Linked DNA regions of Saccharomyces cerevisiae S288C. Changing the gene in region 3 together with the main gene of any one other region gives a genetic interaction. Each region holds a gene or a part of one and is shown on either strand. Other genes may lie near its edges. The genes, in order: IRC4, CDA2, HSP32 and YBR242W.

Region 1 (5,408 bases), on a different chromosome or scaffold from region 3:
AAATTCTCTCCCTAGCGACCATTTAAGGAATGTAGCTAACAAAAATGATTCAAGTATGTTGCTCCTAAGCAGATATGTACTCTATAAGTTGAATCACTATATCATTGAAATATAGTGGCGAGGGCGTACATAAAATCAAAGGAACTATGCAATAGACTCAATTAAATGCCACATAGCTATTTAAGACTCCAAATCTCCAATACAATCATTCGTTAAAGATTTTTTGTATTCTGCTGATATCTTTTTCTACAGTTTCTTGAGTGTCTAGTGATTGCATAAAATGACCACAGTATTTTTAGTACTCATGGCCTGTATGCAATTGCAAGGAACGGTATTACTTTTACAAAAACCCTGCTTTCCGGCAAGTTCAGCTGTCATTTGGTAAGATTTTGAAAATAGTGGAAACAATGGATTATCAACGAATAGTCTTTAAACATAAGTGCTAAAATTCAAAACATCATTTGATGCGTGCGGTGCATTTTTTCGTGCTGAATGAACTTTTGGAGATATCTGCCTTCGCCAATGAATATGCATTACCATTAATTGCATAGTAACCGTATACATGAAAATGGAAATAATGAACTGATTATTAAAAATAGCTAATGCAGGTGGGATTTGAGACATTGTGGTTATCCTGTCAGCCTGTATTTTGCGCTTTAAGGTATTTCATAAAAGTTAGAATAAAATTTAAAAGTTCCATTCTATGAAACTGTAATTATAGGTATATACTATCATCTACCAATCTTACCCATGTATAGTTCTAATATTAAAGACAGAGTAGGTAAAAAAAAAAATGGTAATCAAAACGTGATCGCTTATATTCGGTATGGACAAGCTTTGAATATTCCCTAGAAAATGCAATAGTATGTCATAATGAAAGAAGATTGTAATACAATGCTTGGAATGTCGACCGGCAGAAACCCGTGTCACATGGCCTTATTCAACGTGACGTTGTGATATATGTAGAACATGCTTTAGATGAGGCGGTATTTGACTGTAGCATCTTCTAAAATGTGCTGATATTGTTAAATCTCAATCAAACTGAGAGAGTATGAGAGACTGAAAAAGTGGGATTCTGCCTGTGGTGCTAATATCCTTAAAATGCTAAACTGAAAGAAGTAATATAATCATATATATTGATCATGTATCATACAAAAGATGCATGTATTTTAGTAATATTAACTGCTACTATGATGTAGTAGACGATCGATAATCGAATCTTGCGGTATATTCTAGGATCCTTCATGTTGAGTTAATCGGTTATACTTCTGTCGCTGTGGCAAACTGATGTATGCGCCAACTTGAGACCATTGTCTCCACATTACAGAGGTGCTTCTAAGTCATCTGTTTCTAAACACTTTAGCTTTCTATAATATTCTCTTCTAGCGACTTTCCTTTATTGTCCTATTATATAAAGCAATCATACACGGAAATGTAAACCCAGGTCGCTAGAGTGTGTATAAAGGAAGATTATTTTGAAAATTATGAAAGTTTTCTAGATGTCTGTTTTCTTTATGCAGGATATTAAATACAAGTTTGTGCTTAAGAAATTTCCATGAAGATATCAACATTTATTGTAGGAATTGCATAAATAGATGAATTATGTGCCGCTGGACGTTTATAGATAGCATAAGCACAATGACTTAAAGGTTATAATACTCATTGATATCACTCTGATTATAAAATCGTAATATGCGAATAGGTGAACTAATCGGAATAACCCATACGACACTTCAAGCTTCAATTCTATTTCAACTGTAGTGCCTGCTAGTGAAGAATACAAAAGTAGCATACGTGATGTGCAAAAAATGCGCTACTTATCACACAAGTACCTTGCGCAAGAAGGGTACTCTAAACCGGGGCCATCGCATTACCAGACGGAGATGTATTCTTTATGAAGCAATAATTGGAGGTGTATCAAGTTCGAAACTGCTGATGCTATGGATTTACATCTTTCTTATGCACAAGGCTTGCTTGTGTTTCTGAGTAGTTAGTTTTTAGATTTTTGTCAAGTCTGGGGTAAGTTAATTCGAGCAAAATTAACGGCACGTTATTCTAATGCATATGTTGTTCATATATTCTTTTACAAAGAGGTTTGGAATGATGTCACCGATGTTAGAATGTTAGGAGAATTTCATGTGAATTTTAGTCCAAGTGTTGAAGTTCTCTTCTGCAGTTAGGGCACGTACATGGCAACGATATCGTTTTTGATGTATTAATCTTAGTAGGCGTTGAGTTTGTATGTTACTTTTCTCAGGTGATGAAGCGTGATGACGATGACAAAAATGGGTTATAATAGGGCGCACTATCATCATGCGTGATTGATATTTAACCAATGTCTTGAGTACATCAACTCCAGAAAATGGGTCATTATATGCCTAGCATGTATTATTTGAGACATAAAGTTTTATCTCGAGACCTTGACGTATAGGAAAGATCTTAATCAAGTGACATTACTTTAAAATTTAAAGTATGTGCCATGTATACCATATACGATAGCAGAATGTGACACAAGCTATACCATACGTCTCTGATCGACATTCATGTATGGTATCGTCTATATCTTTGTTGCTTTAAAGGTTAGCGTATAGTAAGGTAAATTAACTATATGATCAATACTGTGTGTGTAGAGTACAATAAAATATATGGGAAGAACATAAAAAGTTCGTATTGTGACATGTTATTGAGGCTATGGTAAGCGTAAGAGAGTTTTGTCTTTATACTGCTGTACATTATATGAGGTTTTGTTAAATTGACTCATAATAATCGAGATTCATTTCTCAAATATAATAATATCAAAAAATATGATATTAAAAAAGGTTTTCCTGTGGTAGTTTCTAAATCCTGCAAGAAAAAAAATAGACGGCCATATACAACTTTCTCATTATATCTTCCTCCTTTTTATGCGTTGTTCTTCAGGCACTAGTCTCTTCCATTTTCTAATTTTTCCTCTAAAGTTTGTGAAAGGAGCAACCGTGTTGATATGGATCCATTTATACACAGGCCACATAGCTTTAGTTGTAGCCCATTTTCTATTTCCCGCTTGAAAGAGCTCATCATCAGATAAAGTAGATATCCATTTATAGACCTCGTTTACGGCCTCTCTCAGCTTGGCTCTTTGCTCCTTAATGGAGTAGATTCCGTATTTTTTATAAAATGACTGGTATAATCCTCCTAAATTGTTCCATTTATAACCAGGCGCAGGAGTTTCCACATTATACCCAGCAATTTCCTTTGCTTCCCACTCTAATAATAAATTAACCCAGCCCAATTGATAAGAGAGGTTTTCAGAGGGTGTTCTATCCACTGTTTCAACTTTTTCGTCTTTTTGAGATTCAGAGATTGTTTCAAATTCTGCATCATATTTTTCATATTTTTTTTCAATCTCTTCCTTTAGTTCTTTTTTACTGGTATATTCTCTCATGATAGTTTTTTTTTTTTCAATTGTTATTATTTAATTCGTTTAATTACCAATCTATAGCGATGTAAGTCTCACTATTAGCCGCTATTAGATTTTTTTCCATTTGCCAATATTGATTTTTAATCGCATTCATTATTTGATCAAATTTATATTAGTATGTACACACTCAAATAAAAGAAAATAGGGAAAAAAAATTTGCCTGCTTCAATTAGGCTTTTGGTACCTGATATCCGCTCGAGATTAAGTGCGGCCCTCTCCACCCGATAAGGAACAAAGGGCATGCTTCCTTTTTTAGCTTTACGCACTATTGTCAAATTGTTTATATAAACAGGCTGATATAGAATTCATCCTGAAAACAATGGTAAAGTTTTTCTTATTGCACTTCGCTATCCTAAATTCAGGGTTGAGATTTCTTTCTCTTTATGAATTAATGTACGATACGCTTCAGCCTTTCGGCAGTGCATACATATCCTAGCGCGCTGATAGTTGGCCACGTCACTTTCTTGCGCTCCGTAGCATCATTGTTCTTTGACGTAAGAACGCAAACTCTGGCATTATGGAATGCATACCGGTATCTGATAATAAAAATCTTGGATACTTTCCTACAGGCCATCCGGAATCATGTCAGCACAAGAAACAACCATATTCCACTACTGAGGTTCTTATGATAGTACCATATACTTACAGCGTTAGACGATAACAACAAATATAATATTAATTGAGCAAAGTTCTTTACTGTCATTCAAATCGGTGAGTAAGAGTAAAAATTGACAATGAAATAACATCTATGAATGAAATCAAGGGAAGTTTCTGAAGTAAAAATTGACCATTATTCACTACTAGTAGTCGCGTTATTAAGATAATATACTGAATGGAGTTAAAGATGAGATAAATGATGAGAAACAGTCTGCGAGTATAATGGAACATGAAGCGCAAGGGCTGATTTTGTAATAAGATAATGAATGAAAACGTGTAAAACAGATAAAGAAATAAAACAGATTAATGTGTAGAATTATCGATTCCCTTTTATGGATCTCTATGTCCCCGAGGAGCACTTCTAGTGTATTCTGTATAAGTAATAATATTATCTCAAGCAATAATGAATTCCCAATAATTATCTCAAAATCCACTCACTCATAATAATTATATATGACGCATTTAATTTCAGCTCTATGTGCATAACATTAAAATGGAAGATCAAAAATTACACTCTTCACACATAAGTGCAAAATATAGAATCATTTAAGCAATATTGCATCCTGCATATGATTCTGCGTTTTTTTTTTTTTCATTTTGAGCAGAGGAGATTGAGCAAGGATTTACGCTTGCACAAAGTATCCTTGACTTGAAAAGGAAGTTAAAATCGCATGAGAAATGCAATAACTTTATCGGTACGCCATATAACATATGAACATTTTTTAGTAATATTATAGAAGAGGTGATTGAAACGAGATAGTACGCGTAGCAAAACAATGGTAACTAGTGAGATACATTACCAAATTATCCCTGTACTCTTGTGATTTCGCATCAATTTTTCCATATGTTGAATTACAGAATTCCAAAGGCAGGATCTCTGATCTACTGTTTTCTATAATTTCTTTGATTCCATCTGATATTACGCCTAAAAAGTATAAGTCTTTCAACGACTTATACTTCATAATTACATAATACGGTTACACATATAGGTATCTTAAATTGATCACAAGAGTGATCCAAGTAAGTGTGGAGTACCTTTATCACCATTCACTGAATATTAGTATATTTAGATGCACGAAATGGGTACTTTTTAAATACCAAGCATTTACGATTTCCATTTTTTTTATTTTCTATAAAAAGATTTTATCATGGTTAGTCTGAAGAGTCAATGGTACTACAAAAATTTATAAAGAGGTTCGAAAAGGCTTGATATGCCAGCATACACTAAATATGACTTATGGTTTCGCTTGATTATTTTGGCTTCACATAATTGCGAGATTATGTGTGGTAT
Region 2 (8,589 bases), on a different chromosome or scaffold from region 3:
ACACCCAGTTAAGTTATCGATCCAAGATTTTAAATGCCCGATTAGAGGAAACTTATTACCTGAAAAAATATCAATTAGTGATTCTATGAAAAGCTATTACCCGCATTCTCATAGTTCGGATTTTCAGATCCAGCAATATAAGAGAACCAAATGTAGCAGAAACGTCAAATAGTAAGCAACAGGAGTTACATTTGAGGTGATTTTAACTTAGGGAAACATTTGCTGATTCAATGTTCAAACAGCTGTCACAAATTGGTAAGAATCTTACCGATGAATTAGCGAAGGGCTTAGCCGATGATATGAGCCCTACCCCGTCAGAACAACAAATCGAAGATGATAAGAGTGGCTTGCCAAAAGAAATACAAGCTAAATTAAGAAAATTTGAGAAATATGAACAAAAATACCCTTTGCTACTCTCCGCATACAAAAATGAAAAATTAAAGTCAGAGAAGTTAGAGGCTGTTGAAAAGATTTTAGCGGAAAATACACCCATATCTAATATTGACGACGCAGTGGATACGTTGCCAGCTTTTTTCCAGGATTTAAACAACAAAAATAACCTATTGAATGATGAGATCAAGAGATTAACTAAGCAGAACTCGGAAATTCCAGAAAGCGCCTCTAGTGAAACTCTGAAGGATAAAGAAGAGGAATTTTTGAAAAAAGAGCAAAATTATAAAAATGACATAGACGATCTAAAAAAAAAAATGGAAGCTTTAAACATAGAATTGGATACTGTACAAAAAGAAAAAAATGATACTGTTTCAGGTTTGAGAGAAAAAATAGTTGCACTGGAAAATATACTAAAGGAAGAAAGGGAGGCCAAAAAACAGAAAGAAGAAGTATCTATATCCGAACTGAAGGAAGAATTGGCTATAAAGAACCATTCTCTCGAGGACAGTCGAATGAAGATAACCGAATTGGAGCAAAATTTGTCTTCGAAAAGTACTATAATGGAGGAAAAGTCCTCAGAGTTGGCAGAACTAAATATTACTTTAAAAGAGAAAGAGCGCAAGCTGAGTGAATTGGAAAAAAAAATGAAGGAGTTACCGAAGGCGATATCTCATCAAAATGTAGGAAACAATAACAGAAGGAAAAAGAATAGAAACAAGGGAAAGAAAAATAAGGGAGGCATAACTACGGGTGATATCAGTGAAGAGGAAACGGTCGATAACTCAATCAATACTGAAGAATATGATAAGCTTAAAGAAAATTTGCAAGAATTACAAGAAAAATATAAAGATTGTGAAGATTGGAAGCAAAAGTATGAAGATATAGAAGCAGAACTAAAAGATGCTAAAGAATTGGAAAACTCACAGCTCGAAAAATCAGCAAAGGAGCTGGAAACCCTTAACACCGAGTTGATCGATACCAAGAAGTCATTGAAAGAAAAAAATTCGGAGCTAGAGGAGGTGAGAGATATGCTGAGGACTGTAGGCAATGAGCTTGTGGACGCAAAAGATGAGATTAAAGAGTCTTCGAGTAAACAAAATGAAGAAGTGAAAACCGTTAAGCTGGAGCTCGATGATTTACGCCATAAAAATGCAACGATGATCGAGGCCTACGAAGCTAAAAATACTGAGTTGAGAAGTAAGATAGAGTTATTGAGCAAGAAAGTAGAGCATCTGAAGAATTTATGTACAGAAAAGGAGAAAGAGCAGACTACATCGCAGAACAAGGTAGCCAAATTAAATGAGGAGATATCTCAACTTACCTACGAAAAATCAAACATAACAAAGGAGCTTACTTCTTTAAGAACCTCTTATAAACAAAAGGAAAAAACTGTGAGTTACTTGGAGGAACAAGTTAAACAATTTAGTGAGCAAAAGGACGTGGCTGAAAAATCCACAGAACAGCTGAGAAAAGATCATGCTAAAATTTCTAACAGATTAGACTTATTAAAAAAGGAAAATGAGACACTGCATAATGATATCGCAAAGAATTCTAATTCCTACGAGGAGTATTTGAAAGAAAATGGTAAATTATCGGAAAGATTGAATATTTTGCAAGAAAAATACAATACCTTGCAAAATGTAAAAAGTAATTCGAATGAACACATAGATTCTATCAAAAGACAATGTGAGGAACTAAATGTCAAGTTGAAGGAATCTACAAAAAAAATTTTATCTTTAGAAGATGAACTAAATGAATATGCTAATATTGTTCAAGACAAAACCAGAGAAGCTAACACATTGAGAAGGTTAGTTTCGGACAGTCAGACAGATGATTCGAGCAAACAAAAAGAGTTGGAGAATAAATTGGCCTATTTAACGGATGAAAAGAATAAATTGGAAGCAGAATTAGACTTACAAACATCCAGAAAGGCCACTGAATTACAAGAGTGGAAGCATACAGTAACTGAGCTGAAATCGGAAATACACGCTTTAAAGCTTCGTGAAGAGGGACTAAAATCAGAGGTTGACGCATTGAAACATGTTAACAATGACATCAAAAGGAAGACTCAAGCCACTTCAGATGATTCCGATCAGTTGGAACAGATCACATCTAATTTAAAACTCTCATTGTCTAAGGCTGATGAAAAGAATTTTGAGCTACAGTCTGCCAATGAGAAACTTCTGAATTTAAATAACGAACTTAACAAGAAATTTGATCGATTACTAAAAAATTATCGTTCATTGTCCTCTCAATTGAATGCTTTAAAGGAAAGACAATACAGTGACAAGTCAGGAAGAGTTAGTAGGTCTGGTTCTATCGGTACTCTAGCTAACGCGAATATTGATTCCTCACCAGCGAATAACTCTAATCCAACTAAATTAGAGAAGATACGATCATCAAGTTCATTGGAGTTAGACTCTGAGAAAAATGAAAAAATTGCATATATAAAAAATGTTTTGTTGGGATTTTTGGAGCACAAGGAACAACGGAACCAATTACTTCCTGTAATTTCTATGTTGTTACAACTGGACAGTACTGATGAAAAAAGACTGGTTATGTCTCTGAAGTAAAAATGTAGCTGAAAGCAGAAGATACGTATATATTGAAACAGTTTTTTTCTTCCTGAAATATATCAAGAAGTTGCTGCATGTCTATATATAAAATACTAAAGCAATTTCTTTTTAAATTGTAATTTAATTCTTCCTTATTTTCTTCAATTCCCTGAAAATTAGGACAAGAATTCTTTTATGTAATCAATTCCGCCGACACAATGAGAAACTGTTGATTGATCATCACCTATCAACTTATTTATTTTAATGGCAAGATCGACAGTTTTTTCCGTTGAATCGTGTTCTAATATTAATCCGGTTCCTGACTTGTTCCAGTTTATTACATTTTGAAGAATTTCTTGTTCAGTTATGACAGAATCATTGAGAAGGAGGCTCCAATCAAAAGTATCGTGATCCCATAAGACGGCTTGTAAGCCAAATTGCCTTGTTATTGCTCTTACTCTATTATCTATTCCGCCATATGGAGGTCTGAACCATTTGGGGGTATGGTTGCCAGTAGCATTCATCGCCCAGATGGACCATTCAATTTGAGCTATAATTTTTTCATTCGATACATTTGGCAAATATACGTGAGACCAGGTATGTGAGCCGATTAAGTGTCCCTCCTTTTGCATTCTTTGATAGATATCTGGATGTTGAACTATATTGACACCTAAATTGAAGAAGGTGGAATTATGCTTCAACCGGTCCAATAATTTAGTAGTGGAAGCAGAAGGACCATCGTCAAATGTCTGGGAAAGTTTGGAACATGTGTACACATCATCGTGTTCGGTGCAGTGATGGCAATCGAAAGAGCACGAGTCCCTTGGAACACTGTCGCAATGGTTTTGATCATATTCCTTATAATCTGGAATTTGACTGAAATCAATGAAATCTAAAGGTATATAAGGTGGATCTAACCCAGGCCATTCTTTTAACCCGGTAAATGCACTAAGCCAATCCGGAAAAGGCGTTTTTGTAGCTGCCCTTTCCAATACAGGAAATTGAAAGTCTATCTGCTTTAAATCTTCCCTATTAGCTTCCGCGTGAACAAATTGCCCCAGACAGGAAAGTGCAATAATACATTGCAAATCAATTGTATTTAGTTGTATTCTCATTTTCAATTGCCGATCCGTAGAAATAATAACAACTCTTTTGCAGTTTGTTTACCCACTGTGGGTTTTTGATAAATAATAGAGGATTACTGAAGGAGAGAGAATATTTTAAATGGATTTTGATAATACTACAAAAGAATAGCCAGTAATTTTTGCGTTGCGTCACAAAATCAAATATCTAGTTTGTTCCCTGACGCATGTTTCTCATGTGTTACCCGTCCTTTTGTAACCTTCACTGCTACAGCCGTACTATGTGGCATTTATGGGTTAATAGAAAGTTCCATTAATCCGACATTAAAATTGGATGGATTAATGGAGAACACAAAGGCAAAAAAACAATGGAAGAACAAAGAAAATTTAGCGGAAGTAAAAATAACAGCCGAAAGCCAAATTCAGGCTTATCTTGCCTACTCTTTCTTTTATCGAATTCCTTTAGGCCGTTGCAATAGAAAAGTAATAAAAACGCATATACGTAAGTTGTAGTCAGTGTAATTGCAATCTATTATGCGCATCAGGTGCGCATACTACATCCATTGGTGCACAAAAAAAGGAACGCAGACAAGAAAATTATTCAGTTTGCTGTTCGTGATGAGCCATCCCTGAATATGACTAATGTTAATGTTCAATTTGGGATCTTATTTTTTTTTGTGCAGTAATAAGAATCTTTGAAAAAAAACTATATAAGCCTATATAGTTTGTAAGATATAAGACAAAACACACCTGCTTTTCCACTACACATTTTCGTTATTATATAAAAAAGACAGCCAAGTATACTTGTCAACAAAATAAACTCATAGCAATTACACTATAAAAACAATAGCATCAAAAATGTCACTAAGAAACATATCAATGATCACAAAAAATTTGCAAACAACTGCCAAGTGTTATGTCCCAAAAAGTTCACCTACATCAACAACTATTCCGGTTATAAGGGATGCTAGTACTACTCAATGTCGCAGAATAACTACCGTCATCAATATTACGAGTCTGAAAGGATATTCTCCATCTCCAAGAACAGTTCATGATAAGCCAATTGTTATTTGCACTGACAACGAAGAGGTAGAGACTGTATCGGAGCACGTAAAAGTATAATTTGAATTAATCTACTCTTAACACTGTTCAAATGTACGTGTAACGTTTTGACGCTAAAAGATTCTAAAAAATTACTTTTTAAAGTTATACCCTCTGACTTTATGTGACATCAGCATCCTAAGTACCTACCGTTCATAATTTGACGCTTTTCCTTATACATTCAAGCATCGATATATATGATTTTTATATATGTCCTCTATTCTAATACATACTTTTTTACTTTTGAAATAACAAAATATTCTTTTTATTTTTGCGAGTTGAATAATTAAATAAGAGATCAAAGATATATAGAGAGAAACTTTATTTCTCGGAAATCTTACTTCTAGTCGTAGCGTTCGATGTAGTCTGTATCACCAATACATTCTGCAATTGTCAATTGGTCACTACCAATAAGTTCGTTGATTTTAATAGCAACCTCAACTGTTCTTCGTGCACCATCGTGCTCTAAGATCAAACCTTTCCGTTTTCCCTTCCAAGTATTTATGTCCATAAGTATTTCTTCCTCTGTTCTGAAATCATCATTAGTGATTAATTTCCAATCAAAAGTATCGAGATCCCACAAGACAACCGTTAGGCCAAACTGTTTTACTATAGCTCTAACCCTATTATCAATTGCACCGTATGGAGGCCTAAAATACTTGGGGAAATGTTTGCCTGTGGCATTCATAGCCCAAATTGACCATTCAATTTGGGCTACAATTTCTTCGTTTGATAAACTTGGCAAGAATTCATGTGACCACGTGTGTGTACCAATCAAATGACCCCTCTCTAAAATATGCTCATATATATCAGGATAATTAACAGTGTTTATCCCCAGAACAAAAAAAGTGGTTCTTTGTCTCAATTTCTTGAGCAATGCCTCTGTCGCCGGGGCCGGACCGTCGTCAAATGTTTGGGAAAGTTTGAAACACGAAGTTACATCATCAACATCGATGCAGTTATAGCAGTCAAATGAGCACTGCTCTCTAGAAATTTTGGGACACTGGCCAGGATAGTACCTATCTAATTCTGGCACTTCAGTAAGATTTATGTAATCTAGCGGAATATAAGGTGGGTCAATTCCAGGCCATTGTGTAAGATTAGTAAATTCTGTTAACCACTCTGGAAAGGGCGTTTGCATATCTACTTCCCCCATCAATGCGGTACTCCCATTTGACGCAAGGCAATTTCCCTGTTTTAGAAAAAATGCTGCGAACAGCACAGATTGTATTGTATTGAAAATTTTCATCTCTTTTCTTGTGTAAAAGTAAATCTATCACTTAATTTTGTTTCTCTATATTCCACTTTGCTTACTTCTAAGCATCTACTTTGTTAGAACTATTGGTCTTTTTGAAAACACAAAAGTAAATCAACCCACTTGTTGGTATTTTTCTCTTTTAATTGCGATTGAATGACGGCCGGTCCGGAAAATGTGACATCTGGAAAAGAGAAATGTTGAAGCTGCTTCCAAGTGCATGAGACAGAATTTTTTTTACAGAAAATAGAAAGCGTTATCTTGTTAAATATTACTAACTAGTATAGTCATTCATTTTTTTCTTCCATAGTTGTAATATCTTTATTTTTTGTAAGAATTAGCGATAGCTGAGATTGCGTTCTTCAACTTCCTGCTCTCTCTTAGTCTTCTATCCAGGGTATCTCACCTTCCTGATTATCTTGTCAATAGCCATGGCTTCGCTGTTTCTTTATTATAAGAAGTATTTTTTGTTTTCTTCAAGAAATTTTTCGTATTAATATCTTTATGTTTTGTTTGCCTTTACTGGCCAGAAATTTTATACTTATTTTGAATAGAACACATTAAGTTCTACAGGTACCTGCAAAATATCGAGACAAAAGTTTGAACGAGAATATAAGGAATGTTGGTCATAAGGCGTAAACTAACAGAAGATGGCGGTAGCAAGATGTTACCAAGGCGACAACTCGCCTAGTATGTCACAATTATCTATAATTTTATTGTTTATATATAATCAAATCAACCGAAAATTACTCTGAACTTGACTCAAGGAGAAACTATGTTATCATATTTGACATGTTCAATTGAACCTCCAGACATGGTCAATCTCACAGCTTCAGCAAATTCTTTCTCACCCTCACACAGTAACTTTGCTGCATCCTTGTTTAACGGGTCATTGGGATTAGGCTCCAAGAACAAGAAAAGAAGCCCGGTTATAATACTCTGCAAATCTAGAGCTGGCGACCAGTCTTCTCGAAGAATATTTAGGCAAACGTTCCCCTTTAAATCGATATTTGGATGAAAGATCTTCTTCAAACATACAACTTTTGGTGGTTCAATCGGATAAACTTCGTTAAAATCCAAATTGAAATTAATAGATCCATAATTATAATATCCTTCATCAGGCCTAACAATTACCTCCAATTTCGGCGATTGTGATCTATCCGCACTATCTGGTGATGTTATTACATTCAAAGTCACTGTTGGTGGGAGGTCCAGCGAATCAAGGTCCCTTTTCAAACGAATTCTTGCTGCCGATAAATTAGGCTGAATAGAACTGCTGTTTTCATTTTCTTTTTGCTTTTTCTTTTGTAATTGGCGTAATTTCAACTATTTGAATAAAGCCAAGAATATACATATCCAGTACACATATACATTCTCACCCCCCAAAAAGATTATGTTAGTATTTTCGATCGCTAAAAACCGCCAATGAGAAACGGAAAGATATAGTTGCATCTACGTACCATTTTTATTATCTTGTTTTATATTCTCTAACTGATTCTTTAATGTCTCTAAGTACATTTATGAATGATTGGCCTTTTTCATCTCATTTTACCTTTTGGCTGATATCATCAAACGGCACGCGCAGGGATGAAGGTACGTTAATAGTATTTTTTTTTTTCAAGAATACTGCGAAGATGTTTGAGTTGTGGGAAAAAACATATTCAACATTAATAACTATTGTAAATCAAGAAAAAAATTAGATCACAAAAAGATAACTACAGCAATCGAAAACGCCACTCGTTTAAGGCAGATGAGATTTACCAGAGGATTGAAAGCCTCTTCATCTTTAAGAGCGAAAGCTATTGGAAGACTAACTAAACTTTCGACGGGTGCACCAAATGATCAAAACAGTAATGGTACAACATTAGATTTGATAACTCATACATTGCCTATTTTTTATTCCACAAATACGTCAAAGATATATACTATACCACTTACATTGAGTGAATGGGAAGTACTAACTTCGCTTTGTGTTGCAATCCCTACCACGCTCGATCTGGTAGAGACAATGCTTAAAGAAATAATTGCGCCTTATTTTCTGGAAACTCCAAGACAAAGAATTTCAGATGTTCTGTCCTCGAAATTCAAGTTGGAACAGATGAGAAATCCGATTGAATTGCTAACTTTCCAGCTGACTAAGTTTATGATTCAAGCTTGTGAACAGTATCCCGTTCTTTATGAAAATATAGGCGGCATCATTTCA
Region 3 (8,085 bases):
ATCGATGGTTTAATTGAATCTCTAGGGTGGATTGAACTAAATTACCGTTGTGAGAGGCAATGCAATTGGGATGAAGTTTGTTACACTCCTTCCTGGGGCCCATCTCCAATGGGTATGACTGAACCAGGTTCCCACAATGAGGGATTTGGAACCCACTTTGATGAATCTCGACAAAGGTTGGTTATTAACAGTAAACTACAGTGTATCAATATAAATGATTTGATGGTTAATCGTAATCATTAGCGCCTCATGTGAGCAGGCCATTGTGGGACAGTATGAAGGGTATGATTTCTAGATAATCCAATAATAATTATGAAGTTTTTGAGATTTGGGGTGATACACATCTATGAATTACTAAGAGATTTGAGACACAGCGACAGTCATGCCAGCAAGATTTAAGATTTTCTTTATTTAGTGTTTATATACATATCAGATATCTGTTGAGTATTTTCTATTTTACCAAAAAAAAAAGATATGAAATCAAGATAAAACGTCGTATGAAAGACAAGGGAGCTCAGCAGCAATATCATAAAGTAAAGCAACAGCGCTTGGTTCATGTACAATGAACGATCTGAAAATTATTTGGCAGCGGTGCTACGAATACATGTCGATATTACGTTACGATTGTCTAACAGGGGAGGAGAATCGTGCACTTTGATGGGTATATCGAAAAGATGGTGACTCTGCTAGAGTCACTGTCAGTGAGGAGTTGCGATGTATGAAAGATTCACTGACATAAAGTGGCGCGATTCATGTAGCAGTGTAAATCACTTTTGACGCAATGATGGAAGAGATACGGAAGAGATACGGAAAAAATAAAACAAAAAACAACTGAAATAAGTACTAAAGGATTATATTTATTGCCGCCATTATTATTTAGCGTCTGGTGGCTCAAGAATCTGCAGTTATTTAATTATTTAATCGAGCGTGTAATGCTCTGATGATTTTCAATCCGGTCATATCAAATCACAAGTTGAGCCATTATATTCATGTTTTTTGTACATTCACCACGTTCTGCATATTAGGTACTGAAACACGTCAGGCTATAACGGCGCTTTCCACCTACACTCCGGCCTTCGTTACTGCTCCGACCGTTCTCTGGTCTAATTGTTCATCCTGCATGCTAATGGGGATTATGCAATCTTTAAATGCTTACACTTGGATGAAAGATCACCAAGTCTTGTTTTTAGGTGTAACTACTGGGTACTGTGGTGCCCTGTCTTCCTTTTCTAGTATGCTGCTAGAGATGTTCGAACACTCTACAAACTTAACTAACGGTAATATCGCTAACCACACAAAACTGCCGAACAGAGCTTACGGTATAATGGAGTTTTTATCTGTCTTGCTCGTTCATCTTATGGTTTCCATGGGTAGTCTTATTTTCGGTAGGCAACTTGGTAAGGAGGTTATTGTTGCTTATGGATCTAGTTCGTTTTCGAAGCCATATACCCCTCCCTCAGACACTGTAAAGGAAAATGCTGGTGATGTTGATACACAAGAAATGGAAAAAAATATTCTAGAGTTTAAATTCAAAACTCCAGCACCATTTTTTAAGAAATTTTTTGATGTTGTGGATAAACTCGCGTACGCACTAGCTTTTCCATTAATTATTTTGTTTGTGGTGCTGTGTGCGTATTATGAGAACTATTCGAGGGGCAAGTGGACACTACCATGTCTATTTGGAATTTTCGCTGGTTTCCTAAGATATTGGTTGGCAGAAATGTTTAATAAAACAAACAAAAAGTTTCCATTGGGTACTTTCTTGGCAAACGTTTTCGCCACTTTATTGATTGGCATATTTACCATGGTGCAACGTGGTAAAAAACACTTTTCCACGGATATTCCAATTGTGAACTCGTTGAATTCATGCCATATTGTTTCTGCGTTAATATCCGGATTTTGCGGCACTTTGAGTACCATTAGCACGTTTATCAATGAAGGGTATAAGCTATCATTTATTAACATGCTTATTTATTATACTGTTTCGATTGGAATTTCATATTGCTTATTGGTGATAACTCTCGGATCCTATGCTTGGACTAGAGGATTGACTAACCCGATTTGTTAGGATCTTTTCTTCATACCTTTTCCTGCACAATCATCCCACCTTTTTTTTTTTTTAATTCATTTTCAAGATTTTAGACGTTGTATAATACATTTTTACCGACTACTGCGGTTTATTGTAATATTTTGTGAGATTTTATGAATGCGTTCCATCATCTATTTACTACAAAACGATAAATTTCCCCGTTTTCTTTTACTTTTACTTCATTTAATATAATTCATATTTATTTCCTATGTACCAATTAATTACTTCTAAAAAGAACAGAAATAGAAAAAAGTTGTATATAACAAGCCAAAAAAAAGAAAAAAAAAGGAAAAAAAAGAAAACACAGCTTATTTCAAATTGCAATCTGCGTATTTCGTAAGTAACGAATGATCTCACAGCATTGCTTTTTTTTTTTTTATATATATATGTACATTACCTATGTCACATATGACCATGATGAGTACAACACTAAAAACCAAGGCCTACTATTCAATTGTTCTCTATATGATTTCCATTCTAGCAAAATCGAGTGCTACCGACCTGCCGTTTTCTTTACCTTTCGAACCATTGAGCTGTTAGCCTTCTCTTCACAGAAACTGAAAGCCATTAGAAGCCTCCCCTTCAACAATTCCCTTGTCTTTTGTTTCAGCTATATAATGCGTTTATAGCTCTAATTGTGGTCGAATAGGAAGAATTTGCGTTAACACCCGTAACTAGCTTTCCATCTGTAATAGAGTAGTCATCCCAGGGATGGATTGGCGCCAAGTACTTGGCTCCATTCTTGTTTGCAACGCGTTCAACCGTTGTCAATTTTCTGCTCCTCAAGATGTCGTCAACTCCCAGGGCGATTTCACCCTCGAGTGGGAAACCTGTTATAGCTTTGCCTTCGATTAATGGTCTTGTTGTTTTGATATCTATTAATCCATCGAAAAGGAGCGGTCCATGACAGATGGCAGCGATCACACCCCCATTGGCATATATCTTGGATGCAATATCTTGCAGATTTTTAGCTTTGGGATAGTCAAATAGAGCACCATGTCCAGCAGATGCAAAGAATATTTTATAGTCGCTGGCGTTGACTTCATTTGCGGTCTTGATCCTCGCTAACGCCTTATTGAAGGCGGAATTTTTCGTTTCAAAGTTCATCTTATCTTCGCCACCAATAAAGCTCTTTGGCAAGTAATGTTCATCCCAGCCAAATCCACCAGTCTCAGAAACGAAGTCCACTTCGAAACCATGCTTTTCGAAAGTATCGAACGACCGCAAAATCTCAACTACAAAAACGCCTGTTTTCGCACCATCTTTATAGAAGGGACCGTGGTATGAAGTAAGAGATATTAGCGCTCTTTTTGGAGTCATTGCAAGGCCAGTTTTCTTTTTGAATGAAGGAGAAAAGTGTTCTAGAAATATGTTTTAGTTCTAAGTATCGTTGTCTGGAGCAAGCAAAGAAAAGCAGACCTGTATGTGCAACTTTCCTCTTTTCCATTAAAATCTCAAGAACCGGCCCCTTGACTGTGCTCATATATCAAGTATCGGTTTTAAAGTCCCCTAATTGTGATAATTGCAAGAACAACAGTCAAAAAGATATTTTTCTTTTCTTTCTTTTTACCTATCCTTCATGAAAATACCTATGCTGATACTGAATATCTTCATTTGCAGCTATGCAATATTTCAGATACCCCATTTTACCCAAGAGTTTCTTACTGGTGGTTGGATTTTCTTTAAGACGAGAAGATTACCAGTCCTGGATGTTCGTGAATGTGCCTATTGCGTCATCAGCGACTCCGCGCCAAGAAAAGAAATACTCGCATGCTCGGATTTATAGAATCGCATAATGGAAATACCTTCCTTAAAGGATGGAGATAAGGAAAAAATGACAAGAACAAGGAAGTACTTGGGAGCTTTCTCCGACATGGTAAATATTTGAAACTCACGCAGCTCTCCTGGAAAGTTGGATCTGGAAAGGTAAGGTTGTTTTTTTTACAGACATCAACCAAAATCGGTTCTTGTAGTAGACAATGTCACAGATCGCCACAAGTTGAAAAAAAAGTTTCGATGAACTGGATAAGGGGAGAGGTCACAAACAAAGTGTAGGGGGTGAGTAGTATAGTGGTAACTTGTTCATTTACCTAAATAACATTCTCACTAGAAAAGAGATATTGAAAGACTCCTCGTTTACCTAACTTGGCTGGTTCTTAGGTATATAATAGAAACATGGATCTGGCAGGTTATCACTTACAGTTTGCACTCCCACCAGGTTACAATTTTCATTATATATAGTTATTTTTTACCACCACTTCTTCTTCTTTCACTTTGTCTTGCAATAGAAATACCAAAACAAGGTGAGGAAAAAATCGAATCTCAACGATAAAAATATGTCCATCACGAAGGTACATGCTAGAACGGTGTATGATTCTCGCGGCAATCCGACTGTTGAGGTTGAAATTACAACAGAGAATGGTCTCTTCAGAGCGATCGTCCCATCTGGTGCCTCCACCGGCATTCACGAAGCTGTTGAACTTAGAGACGGGAACAAGTCCGAATGGATGGGAAAAGGGGTGACCAAGGCAGTCAGTAACGTCAATAGTATCATAGGGCCTGCTTTAATCAAGTCCGAATTATGTGTAACCAATCAGAAGGGCATAGACGAGCTCATGATATCGTTAGACGGAACTTCTAACAAGTCAAGGTTGGGCGCCAATGCTATCCTTGGTGTTTCCTTGTGCGTTGCTCGAGCTGCTGCCGCACAAAAGGGAATTACTCTCTACAAGTATATAGCCGAGTTAGCGGATGCTAGACAGGACCCCTTTGTTATTCCTGTTCCTTTTTTCAATGTTTTGAATGGTGGAGCCCACGCCGGTGGCTCTTTAGCTATGCAAGAATTCAAGATCGCGCCAGTCGGGGCTCAGAGCTTTGCAGAAGCCATGAGGATGGGTTCGGAAGTTTACCATCATTTGAAGATATTGGCGAAGGAGCAATATGGACCTTCCGCTGGAAATGTTGGTGACGAGGGTGGAGTTGCCCCCGATATTGACACTGCCGAAGACGCCTTGGACATGATTGTGGAAGCCATTAACATATGCGGTTACGAGGGTAGAGTGAAAGTAGGAATCGATAGTGCTCCTTCTGTTTTTTATAAGGACGGGAAATACGACCTAAATTTCAAGGAACCGAACTCTGACCCATCTCACTGGCTCAGTCCAGCCCAGTTAGCAGAATATTACCATTCATTGCTAAAGAAATACCCAATCATTTCCCTGGAAGATCCCTACGCCGAAGATGATTGGTCCTCGTGGTCTGCCTTCCTAAAGACTGTCAATGTTCAGATTATTGCAGATGACCTGACATGCACCAACAAGACCAGGATCGCCCGTGCTATAGAGGAGAAATGTGCGAATACTCTGTTGCTGAAACTCAACCAGATCGGTACTCTGACTGAGTCTATTGAAGCCGCCAATCAGGCTTTCGATGCTGGATGGGGTGTAATGATATCGCATAGATCAGGTGAAACCGAAGATCCGTTTATCGCTGATTTGGTCGTTGGTTTAAGATGTGGTCAAATTAAATCGGGCGCTTTGTCGAGATCAGAAAGACTGGCCAAGTATAATGAACTTTTGCGTATCGAAGAGGAACTGGGGGACGATTGTATATATGCTGGTCATAGGTTTCATGATGGAAACAAACTATAAAGGATTGTCTTGTTTCCTTTTTTTTTTTTTTTTTTTTTGTTTTTTTATGACTAAATAAAGTAAATCATATGAGGTTTTATTTTTTATTTCGTTGATTTGGGTTACAGTATGGAAATGGGGCATTTGACACAAGTTATTTTATTCATATGTTTTATCTTGTAGGAAATCAAACCGTTTTTAAAGTTTTCCATTGCCTACACACAAAATCATTACGAATCTGTCTGAACAAGGGTGGACGTGTGGGGGAAGGCTGTTCCAATCAAGAAATGCTTACAACTCTACTAACACTGCAGTTTTTCAGCTTTCTGATTAATCTCTTCGGTTTAAATTTTTTAGCAGCTATTACTTTCTAGTAACCCTTATAACGCGGTTGGTATCAAATCTTCCTGATAGTACAAGCAGACCTTTGACCCCATTCTTGTTGTGTCTTGAAATCTTTTTTTCTGACAAAAGTAAGAAGTTACACCATAATAGAGAAGTTAAATAATGAAAGTGTATCGATCATAGAAATGATTTTATTTTTTTCAACTACTGTTACGGTCAAGAAACTAATACTGAGGATAAGTTTTCGCAACAATGATTTTGGTACAAGTGATTTAAAGTCTTGAATTACTTCAACACAATTTGCTTTGCGACGGTTTAGAATAACGTAATCGTATCAACGAATCCACTAGGCGCGCGTAAAAATTACAGACTCTAACAATATACGACTCCCAGCACATACCTACTATTCTGTACAATTCCGGGAAATAGGAGGGTACAGTATTATTTTTTCTCGGCGATCGTTTAGGGTATACTGGAGATAGGCTTAGCAATACGCTTCTGAACGAGGATCTATAGCAACTAAATTCAGACATTCTGCTATACCAAAAAAGGAAGTATCACAGGCACGGAAAAGGGTTTTATAAGGCACCTCGGCACCCCTATAACTGGCATTCTCACATTCGGCGCATACGAATAGACAAAGGCCCCAGAAAACAATACCTTCGCATACAGAATCTATAAAGATGCATGCCTCGTTTAAAAACAAAAACATCTTCATAGTGATCATGAAGTTGTGGGAAAGATGAGATATGGAGAATATGTGAAGTGCTAAAGGAGCATCTGTTAACGAATCGTTTAAGTGGTGATGACCAATGAAGGAATAGGTATAAATAGAGATACTTCAACTATATGCCTTCGAGAATATGTCTTTATTCATTTCTTTCCTGTTAAGCTTATATCAGCACTAACAAACAAAACAAATACAATGGTCAAATTAACTTCAATCGCTGCTGGTGTTGCCGCTATCGCTGCCGGTGTTGCCGCTGCTCCAGCCACTACCACTCTATCTCCATCTGACGAAAGAGTCAACTTGGTCGAATTGGGTGTTTACGTCTCCGATATCAGAGCTCATTTGGCTCAATACTACTTGTTTCAAGCAGCTCATCCAACAGAGACCTACCCAGTTGAGATTGCTGAAGCTGTTTTCAACTATGGTGACTTCACCACCATGTTGACTGGTATTCCAGCTGAACAAGTCACCAGAGTCATCACTGGTGTCCCATGGTACTCTACCAGATTGAGACCGGCTATCTCCAGTGCTCTATCTAAGGACGGTATCTACACTGCTATTCCAAAATAGAGAGAAGCTTTTACGAACGAAATTCCATAGACATTAAAAAGTAAAGAAAATGAAATAAAATATGTTATTCTATTGATATAAATACAATTTCTCATATGTAAATGTATATTAATATGACAACTCATTTTTGATCAATAACAGTGTTTGTGGAGTATTTTCTCAATACAATAAACCCAAAATAGAAACTTCTCTTTTGCGTCACTGTTCTGGAAAAGGGTGCATGGTAATAAAGCTAATAGGGTATGTCCAATAAGCAATACTGAACTTGGAAATGTGCGGCTTCGCAGCCTTTTGTCTTTCTATAAAAATGTGTCCTTCCTTTTTTTCATTTTTTGGCGCGTCGCCTCGGGGTCGTTTATAGAATATGCGTCACTTTTAAAAATAAGATTGCAGATCAGGGCAAAACAAGTAGCAAGTCATAGCAAGAGACCCTGATTTTTGTGACATAAATATTATTATTTCTTTGTTAGGTTAGTTTTTTATGTAACTGTAACTGGAATAGAGTTGAGGGGATAGCGCCCACATGTGTGTGAGCCACTACCGTATTATTGCTCGGTGAATAAAGAGTGTCACAACAATGGGATGACATAATATTCTAATGTGAAGTCTGTGTAAGTACGAAATATTCTGAAGTGGCATCCGTTCAAGCAAATGGGAATATTAAGGAACTTTTACGTTAATGACGTCATGGTAGTGCTCGTACTTCAAGTCAATATGTTTAT
Region 4 (7,939 bases), on a different chromosome or scaffold from region 3:
GTTAACAACTCGCAACCATTAACTGAAGAGGAAGAAAAGATGAAGGCTGATTGGGAGTCTGAAGGATTTACAAATTGGAATAAATTAGAATTTAGAAAATTCATCACGGTATCTGGTAAATACGGTAGGAACTCCATTCAAGCCATTGCGAGAGAATTGGCCCCTGGCAAAACACTAGAGGAAGTTCGCGCATATGCTAAGGCCTTCTGGTCTAACATTGAAAGAATTGAAGATTATGAGAAATATCTGAAAATAATTGAGAATGAAGAAGAGAAGATCAAGCGTGTCAAAATGCAACAAGAGGCTTTACGTCGGAAGTTGTCTGAGTATAAGAATCCATTCTTCGATTTGAAATTAAAACATCCTCCTTCTTCTAACAACAAAAGGACGTACTCTGAAGAAGAAGATCGTTTTATCCTTCTCATGTTATTCAAGTATGGCTTGGATAGAGATGACGTATACGAATTAGTGCGTGATGAAATTAGAGATTGTCCCCTATTCGAATTAGACTTTTACTTCAGAAGCAGGACACCTGTAGAGCTAGCCAGAAGAGGAAATACATTACTGCAATGCTTGGAAAAGGAATTTAACGCAGGGATTGTATTGGATGACGCCACTAAAGATAGAATGAAGAAAGAAGATGAAAATGGTAAAAGGATAAGGGAAGAATTTGCAGATCAGACCGCTAATGAGAAGGAGAACGTTGATGGAGTAGAGAGCAAAAAAGCGAAGATTGAGGATACGTCGAATGTTGGAACTGAACAGTTGGTAGCAGAGAAAATTCCGGAAAACGAAACCACTCATTAAACCTTCTTTTTTTATATTTCGATTTTTTTTAATATATCCTACACCATGCTTCTGAAGAAAAATATATAATCATACTAATCTATAAATGTATTATTTATTGTTCCGGATAATTGCTTGATTATAGACAAAGATATCATTTACTTAACAGGCTTTGGATTTCTTGGTCCAAGGACGATGGTTTTGTTAAGGAGGAAAATCTTTGGACAACCTTACCATTGGAATCAACTAAGAACTTTTCAAAATTCCATTTGATACCCTTGAAACCTAGTAAACCTGCTTTTTGGCTTTTCAAATAATTATAGACAGAGTCAGCATTACTTCCGTTAACATCAATCTTCTTCATAATTGGGAATGTAACGCCATAATTCAACTGGCAAAATTCCGTAATTTGTTCATCAGAGCCCGGTTCCTGCTTCCCGAACTGATTACATGGGAACCCCAAAATAACAAACCCCTTATCTTGATATTTTTTGTATAGTTCTTCCAATTCTTTATACTGCGGCGTGAAGCCGCACTTGGAGGCAACATTAACTATGAGAACTACTTTGCCTTTCAGTTGGTCAAACTTAAAAGATTCGCCTTTCTTGTCCTTGCATTCTAAATCATAAAAAGATGTGGTCATTTTGAATTATTACTTTTTGTTGCTAATTGTATTCTTGTCAAGGTCAGCCATGCAGGGAAATGCAAGTTCTCTGCGCTACATCACATATTAGCAAATAGTAGTTCTTTATATATCAAAACAATAACAAAAGTACCTGCACATTTTTTAAAGCAGGCTGGCTTAGGGGCTTTGCACTAATACGGAGACAATGGAACTAATGCCTTTCACGATATGTGTGGCAGATATTGTGGTTTTAAACTCTTTGTCATCGGAATTACTAATTGTCTAGATATGGCCGGCCGAGTAGCCTCTAAAAAATATTAAACAGTTGAAAGTAAAATTGCTTGGAAAACACTACTGAGTCGTTGGTCATTTCAAGAGACTGCATCTATCAAAAATAGTCAAGATTTGTGTACATGTTCGTCGTACATTTAGTAAGTAACGTCCGTATTTTCCTTTTTTTAGCGGATGATGAGTAAAAAATTTCTTGTGGATTTATATGTTACGAATACAAACACAGAGGTTGATGCATGAATTTTTTCTAGCTACTACCATGTGTTTAATACAATAATAGTACAGGTTTCCTTCATCTCCTGTATATGGCCCTTTCCTTTTATATTGCCTCAATCTCGAAAAATGCTTTACTAAACAGCGCGAAAATTAAATTGTTAACATGTGTATATAACTGTGAAATATGTAAATAAAAACTTTATCAAGTAGAGCAAGGCGGAGAACGGTAACAAAAAGTAGACTATATGTTGCGACTTTTTTCACTGGCACTTATCACATGCTTAATCTACTATTCCAAAAATCAGGGCCCATCTGCTCTTGTTGCGGCCGTGGGATTTGGTATAGCAGGCTATTTAGCTACAGATATGTTGATTCCACGTGTGGGCAAATCCTTCATCAAAATAGGCCTATTCGGTAAGGACTTGAGTAAACCTGGCCGTCCGGTGCTTCCAGAAACAATAGGTGCTATCCCTGCTGCAGTTTATTTATTTGTAATGTTCATTTACATTCCCTTCATTTTCTACAAGTATATGGTCATAACCACTTCAGGTGGGGGCCATCGCGATGTCTCAGTGGTTGAAGATAACGGTATGAATTCTAATATTTTTCCTCATGATAAACTATCTGAATATTTGAGCGCTATCCTATGCTTGGAAAGTACGGTCCTCTTGGGTATCGCTGATGATTTATTTGATTTACGTTGGAGACATAAGTTTTTCTTGCCTGCCATTGCAGCCATCCCACTGCTAATGGTTTATTATGTGGATTTTGGAGTTACGCATGTACTTATTCCCGGATTCATGGAACGCTGGTTGAAAAAGACTAGTGTTGATTTGGGGCTGTGGTATTATGTTTATATGGCATCGATGGCAATTTTTTGCCCCAACTCCATCAACATCCTGGCAGGTGTTAATGGTTTAGAGGTTGGCCAATGTATAGTGTTGGCCATCTTAGCGCTATTGAACGATTTGCTGTACTTCTCGATGGGGCCATTAGCCACAAGAGACTCCCATAGGTTTTCCGCTGTTTTGATTATCCCATTTTTGGGTGTATCCTTGGCGCTATGGAAATGGAATCGTTGGCCCGCCACAGTGTTTGTGGGAGATACATATTGTTATTTCGCTGGAATGGTATTCGCAGTCGTTGGTATACTGGGTCATTTTTCAAAGACGATGCTTTTGCTATTCATTCCTCAAATCGTTAATTTTATTTATTCATGTCCTCAGCTATTCAAATTGGTCCCCTGCCCGAGACATAGGTTACCTAAATTTAATGAAAAAGACGGTTTAATGTATCCATCAAGAGCAAACTTAAAAGAAGAACCGCCAAAGAGCATTTTTAAACCGATCTTGAAGTTACTATACTGTCTCCATTTGATTGACCTGGAATTTGATGAAAATAATGAGATTATTAGCACCTCTAATATGACGTTAATAAACTTGACATTAGTATGGTTTGGCCCTATGAGGGAAGACAAATTGTGCAATACAATCTTGAAGTTGCAATTCTGCATTGGAATTTTGGCTTTACTTGGAAGACACGCTATAGGCGCTATCATCTTTGGCCACGACAACCTATGGACAGTACGTTGAAGATTATGTATTGGTAGTTACTTTGTACTTTTATGACGCAAAAGTTGGTATTTATGATAATTATTTAGTTATCGATTGAGTCAAATCGGCGAAGTATTTTTGGCGCTGCACGACAAGGTCACTTGTCCAGCCCTTTACTTCGTCTGTTTTTATGCTAGCTACAGCCCCAAAGAAATCATCGAAGTTTTTCGTTCCTTTGTATTCCCTCTCGTACTCAAAACATTGTACAAGCATTTCATATTTATCGATATCTTTCACGTATCTAGCTTCCAATGAGGTGACATTTTCATAAGCCAACCAATCGTCCATAATTTCCTTTGCCGCGATCTCATTGTATGGCTTGATCAGAGCATTACATAGATATTTTATGGTTTCCCATTCCCGACGATGCTTTTCTTCCTTCCCAATAGGGTCAACTGGAGTAATATCGCCAACTAAAGATTCGGCGATATCGTGCACCAATGCGATCCGGACACATTTATCGCGGTTAACCCGCGAATCCTTGATCAGCATGGTGATTATGCTCAATCTGTACATGTGATCTGATATGCTTTCACATTCTTTAATACCGAGGTCAAGATAACCGGTTCTTCTCTGAATTTTTAATTGCTGTACCACGTTCAAAAACGCCAGGATATAGTTTGGATGGGGTTTAGAGAGCTCATTTTTAACATATTGGGGTACTTGGCTTTCAGGCTTCCATTCAGTTGTTAAACGTGTCTTTCCTGCCTCAACAGAACCAGAGCATGATTTCTTATTTGTGATCGTTGCTGTCATATTTTTTTTATGTAGGCTTTCTTTGACAATTGTTTTTTATGAGAATAAAAATAGTGCAGAAGGTTTATTAGAAATGGAAAAGGTTTGCTCCTGCGAAAAAAACCATTCAGTGGGTATTTTCAGGCTTTATAATGACCAATGGACAGAGTAAAACAGTCTAATTATGATAAAACCATATTTATAGATTAAGACTTTTCTTTTATACGTTTCAGTAATGTTTTTTTTTTTTTTAATAAACGAAATAAATTTTTAACATCAGGACCGAAAAAATGCGATGAGCTTTTAGATCGACGAAAAGTGTAAATGATTTACCTAAATATATATATATGTTAGCGAAAAAAGCTTAGCTTCTGGGCACAGTGCTCGGTACACTTTTGGTAGAGCTGTAACGAGCAATGATACGCGGTCTGTAAAACGAACTTGCTTGTGTAGTCATACGTCGTAGGCGTAATGTAAGGTTGTCCGAGAAAAGATGGGAAGTGTGAGGGATGAAATGGATTTCCCTTAAAGTTGCTTCCTGATTAAGGGAATAACAGGAGAACAAAAGTTGCTGAATATCTTTCTCTCTTGGAACAACAACAAAACACAGAGACTAAGGCATAACAAACTAAGTCATGGCTGAAACTGAAAGACTAATGCCTAACGGTGGTTCCCGCGAAACAAAACCGTTAATTACGGGCCATTTAATCTTGGGCACGATAGTTGCTTGTTTGGGGTCGATCCAGTACGGATACCACATCGCAGAGTTGAATGCGCCTCAAGAATTCTTATCGTGCTCCAGATTTGAGGCACCAGACGAAAACATCTCATACGATGACACTTGGGTTGGGCAACACGGACTCAAGCAATGCATTGCGTTAACCGATTCTCAATACGGCGCAATTACGTCTATATTCAGCATAGGCGGACTGTTTGGGTCGTACTACGCCGGTAACTGGGCCAACCGATACGGAAGAAAGTACGTGAGCATGGGCGCCTCGGCCATGTGCATGGTTTCTTCTCTGCTGCTTTTCTTTTCCAACTCCTACTTGCAGTTGCTATTTGGCAGGTTCCTGGTAGGCATGTCCTGCGGCACCGCCATTGTGATCACACCCTTATTTATCAACGAGATTGCCCCCGTGGAGTGGAGAGGCGCTATGGGATCTATGAATCAGGTTTCTATCAATCTAGGTATCCTGCTGACCCAAACCTTGGCACTCAAGTACGCAGACTCCTATAACTGGAGGTGGCTTCTCTTTTCCGGATCCGTGATTGCGGTAGCGAATATTTTAGCTTGGCTCAAAGTGGACGAATCTCCAAGGTGGCTGGTGAGCCACGGATTCGTCTCGGAAGCTGAAACTGCTCTGTTCAAGTTGCGTCCAGGAACGTACCAACAAGCGAAGCAAGAAATTCAGGATTGGCAGCGTAGCCATGGGCACAACCGCGACCCGGAGTCAAGCGAAGAGACTCATTCAGGACCCACACTATGGCAATATGTTACCGATCCCTCATACAAGAAACCGCGCACAGTTATACTCGCCATCTTGTCGTGCCAGCAATTTTGCGGCATCAACTCTATTATCTTCTACGGTGTAAAAGTGATCGGCAAGATTCTACCGGACTACTCGATTCAGGTAAATTTTGCCATTTCCATCCTCAATGTCGTTGTCACTCTAGCAGCATCTGCGATCATCGACCACGTCGGGCGCCGTCCATTATTGCTTGCCTCGACTACGGTGATGACCGCCATGTCGCTGCTGATCAGTGTAGGTCTCACCTTGAGCGTATCCTTTTTACTGGTCACGGCCACTTTTGTCTATATTGCCGCATTCGCCATCGGTCTGGGACCCATCCCCTTCTTGATCATTGGTGAGCTATCCTACCCGCAGGATGCCGCTACAGCTCAAAGTTTTGGTACTGTGTGCAACTGGCTTGCCACCTTCATCGTCGGATACCTCTTCCCGATAGGCCACGGCCTCATGGGCGGCTACGTATTTGCGATCTTCGCCGCCATCGCTGCCATGTTTGCTACATATGTGTACAAGCGTGTACCCGAGACAAAGGGCAAGACTACATACAGCGAGGTTTGGGCTGGCTACTGATCTGTAGCCAGTCATATATACCTAAGCAACTATTTTTTACTTCTTTCTAGCTATTCATCTGTTTTTTATTTTCTTCTTCTTCTAGTAACGAACGGCTACATGAGTATATGCACTCATTTAGTTAGTATCTATGTATATGTACGGAACTAGGCAAACCAAATGGATTGCTGTTGTATGAGATCCGTGTGGCGGAAACCATGACTACCGCTTGTACTGCCGGGGCCAAAATAGCACACGCGCGTCATGAGTCGCTCACGGGCGAGCGTCTATCTGCATATTTTCCTGAGCCCAATATTCGGTTCTGCGTCTTAGCGGCATAAATGCATCCGGCAGGACTGCCGAGAAAAGGAATATACAATGGCAGCCCTCTTGGCGCATTTGATGTATGCGGATTTCCAACCAATCTGCGAATGCATCCGTGCCAAAATGAAACGGCATTTAGCTTGAAAGAGTCGGAATTCCTGCATCAGATGGGTACCATTTTACCACAGTCTTTTGACTCACGCAGAGTACTCGCGTGCAATTGCTTGCAGGTATAATATATACATATATATATATATATATATATATATATATATATATGTACAATTTGTATGACAAGTGGGTGCACCTTTCTCGGTCGGAATTATATGGGGAACTAATACTACGGGTTAGAGCTATAACAATTTCTGCACACTTTAAAAGCGTTTTCATTTCATTTCACCACGTATATATATAGCCTATATATATATCCGCACTAGAACCAAATGGTCAATAGTAAGAGGCAGCAGAGAAGCAAGAAAGTAGCGTCATCCTCCAAAGTGCCCCCCACCAAGGGGAGGACATTTACTGGGTGCTGGGCATGCAGATTCAAGAAACGCAGATGCGACGAGAATAGACCAATCTGTTCACTGTGTGCCAAACATGGAGATAATTGTAGTTACGATATCAGACTTATGTGGTTAGAGGAGAACATCTACAAAGTACGCAAGCATTCACTGATCAGTTCATTACAGGCTCGCAAATCGAAATCGAAACCATTGTGCCAGAAAATCTCAAAATCAAGGTTTAAACAAATGACCCATTTTAGACAACTATCACCCCCGACAAGTGACTGCGAAGACAGCGTGCACGAGGCAAGTAAGGAAACTACGCTTCCTAACGATAATACATTCACCATAAGCGTACGGAGATTGAAGATATACAATAACGCTGTGGCCTCTGTCTTTGGTAGCATGACAAATAGAGATTATACTCAAAAGCGCATAGACAAGAAGTTGGACGAATTGCTTAATATGGTGGAAAACGACATATCTGTGGTCAACCTCAATTGCTCCAAACACGGGCCTTACTCAGTTTTCAGGGCCAATCCGGCTGCAGTTACCTCTGCTCTTACAGATCAGCTGCCGTCGCCGGGTCATTCGATGTCGTCAGCAGAGGAAACCACTACTGCAGCGCTGTCATCGCCGCCAGAAGACAGCACCTCTTTGATCGATATTATCCAAGGCAAAATTTTCGGGATCCTATGGTTTAATTGCTACGGGAACATGATATTGAACCGACAAGAATACACGACGTGGTTCATCAATAAG

What was found.
Region 1: mutations in HSP32 (region 3) and IRC4 together harm fitness more than expected from each alone (negative genetic interaction), as found in Saccharomyces cerevisiae (one large-scale study listed by BioGRID).
Region 2: mutations in HSP32 (region 3) and CDA2 together harm fitness more than expected from each alone (negative genetic interaction), as found in Saccharomyces cerevisiae (one large-scale study listed by BioGRID).
Region 4: mutations in HSP32 (region 3) and YBR242W together harm fitness more than expected from each alone (negative genetic interaction), as found in Saccharomyces cerevisiae (one large-scale study listed by BioGRID).

Annotation. Positions count from the first base shown.
Region 1 is NC_001136.10:1,514,252-1,519,659, forward strand, and holds IRC4 (Irc4p), read right to left. Parts: upstream 3,425-5,408; coding exon 2,885-3,424; downstream 1-2,884.
Region 2 is NC_001144.5:743,411-751,999, reverse strand, and holds CDA2 (chitin deacetylase CDA2), read right to left. Parts: upstream 4,064-8,589; coding exon 3,125-4,063; downstream 1-3,124. Other genes in the region: IMH1 (Imh1p), read left to right, coding at 231-2,966; DPA10 (Dpa10p), read left to right, coding at 4,889-5,152; chitin deacetylase CDA1, read right to left, coding at 5,475-6,380; NEDD8-conjugating protein UBC12, read right to left, coding at 7,149-7,712, 7,847-7,849; 1-phosphatidylinositol 4-kinase STT4, read left to right, coding at 8,137-8,589. UniProt on the Saccharomyces cerevisiae protein: Hydrolyzes the N-acetamido groups of N-acetyl-D-glucosamine residues in chitin to form chitosan and acetate. Chitosan is a component of the spore wall.
Region 3 is NC_001148.4:7,211-15,295, reverse strand, and holds HSP32 (glutathione-independent methylglyoxalase family protein), read right to left. Parts: upstream 3,410-8,085; coding exon 2,696-3,409; downstream 1-2,695. Other genes in the region: YPL278C (uncharacterized protein), read left to right, coding at 1-243; FEX2 (fluoride transporter), read left to right, coding at 941-2,068; phosphopyruvate hydratase ERR2, read left to right, coding at 4,426-5,739; seripauperin PAU22, read left to right, coding at 6,869-7,363. UniProt on the Saccharomyces cerevisiae protein: Catalyzes the conversion of methylglyoxal (MG) to D-lactate in a single glutathione (GSH)-independent step. May play a role in detoxifying endogenously produced glyoxals. Involved in protection against reactive oxygen species (ROS).
Region 4 is NC_001134.8:701,018-708,956, reverse strand, and holds YBR242W (5'-deoxynucleotidase), read right to left. Parts: upstream 4,288-7,939; coding exon 3,571-4,287; downstream 1-3,570. Other genes in the region: chromatin-remodeling ATPase ISW1, read left to right, coding at 1-807; glutathione peroxidase GPX2, read right to left, coding at 941-1,429; ALG7 (UDP-N-acetylglucosamine--dolichyl-phosphate N-acetylglucosaminephosphotransferase), read left to right, coding at 2,164-3,510; VVS1 (Vvs1p), read left to right, coding at 4,902-6,368; THI2 (Thi2p), read left to right, coding at 7,115-7,939. UniProt on the Saccharomyces cerevisiae protein: Catalyzes the dephosphorylation of the nucleoside 5'-monophosphates deoxyadenosine monophosphate (dAMP), deoxycytidine monophosphate (dCMP), deoxyguanosine monophosphate (dGMP) and deoxythymidine monophosphate (dTMP).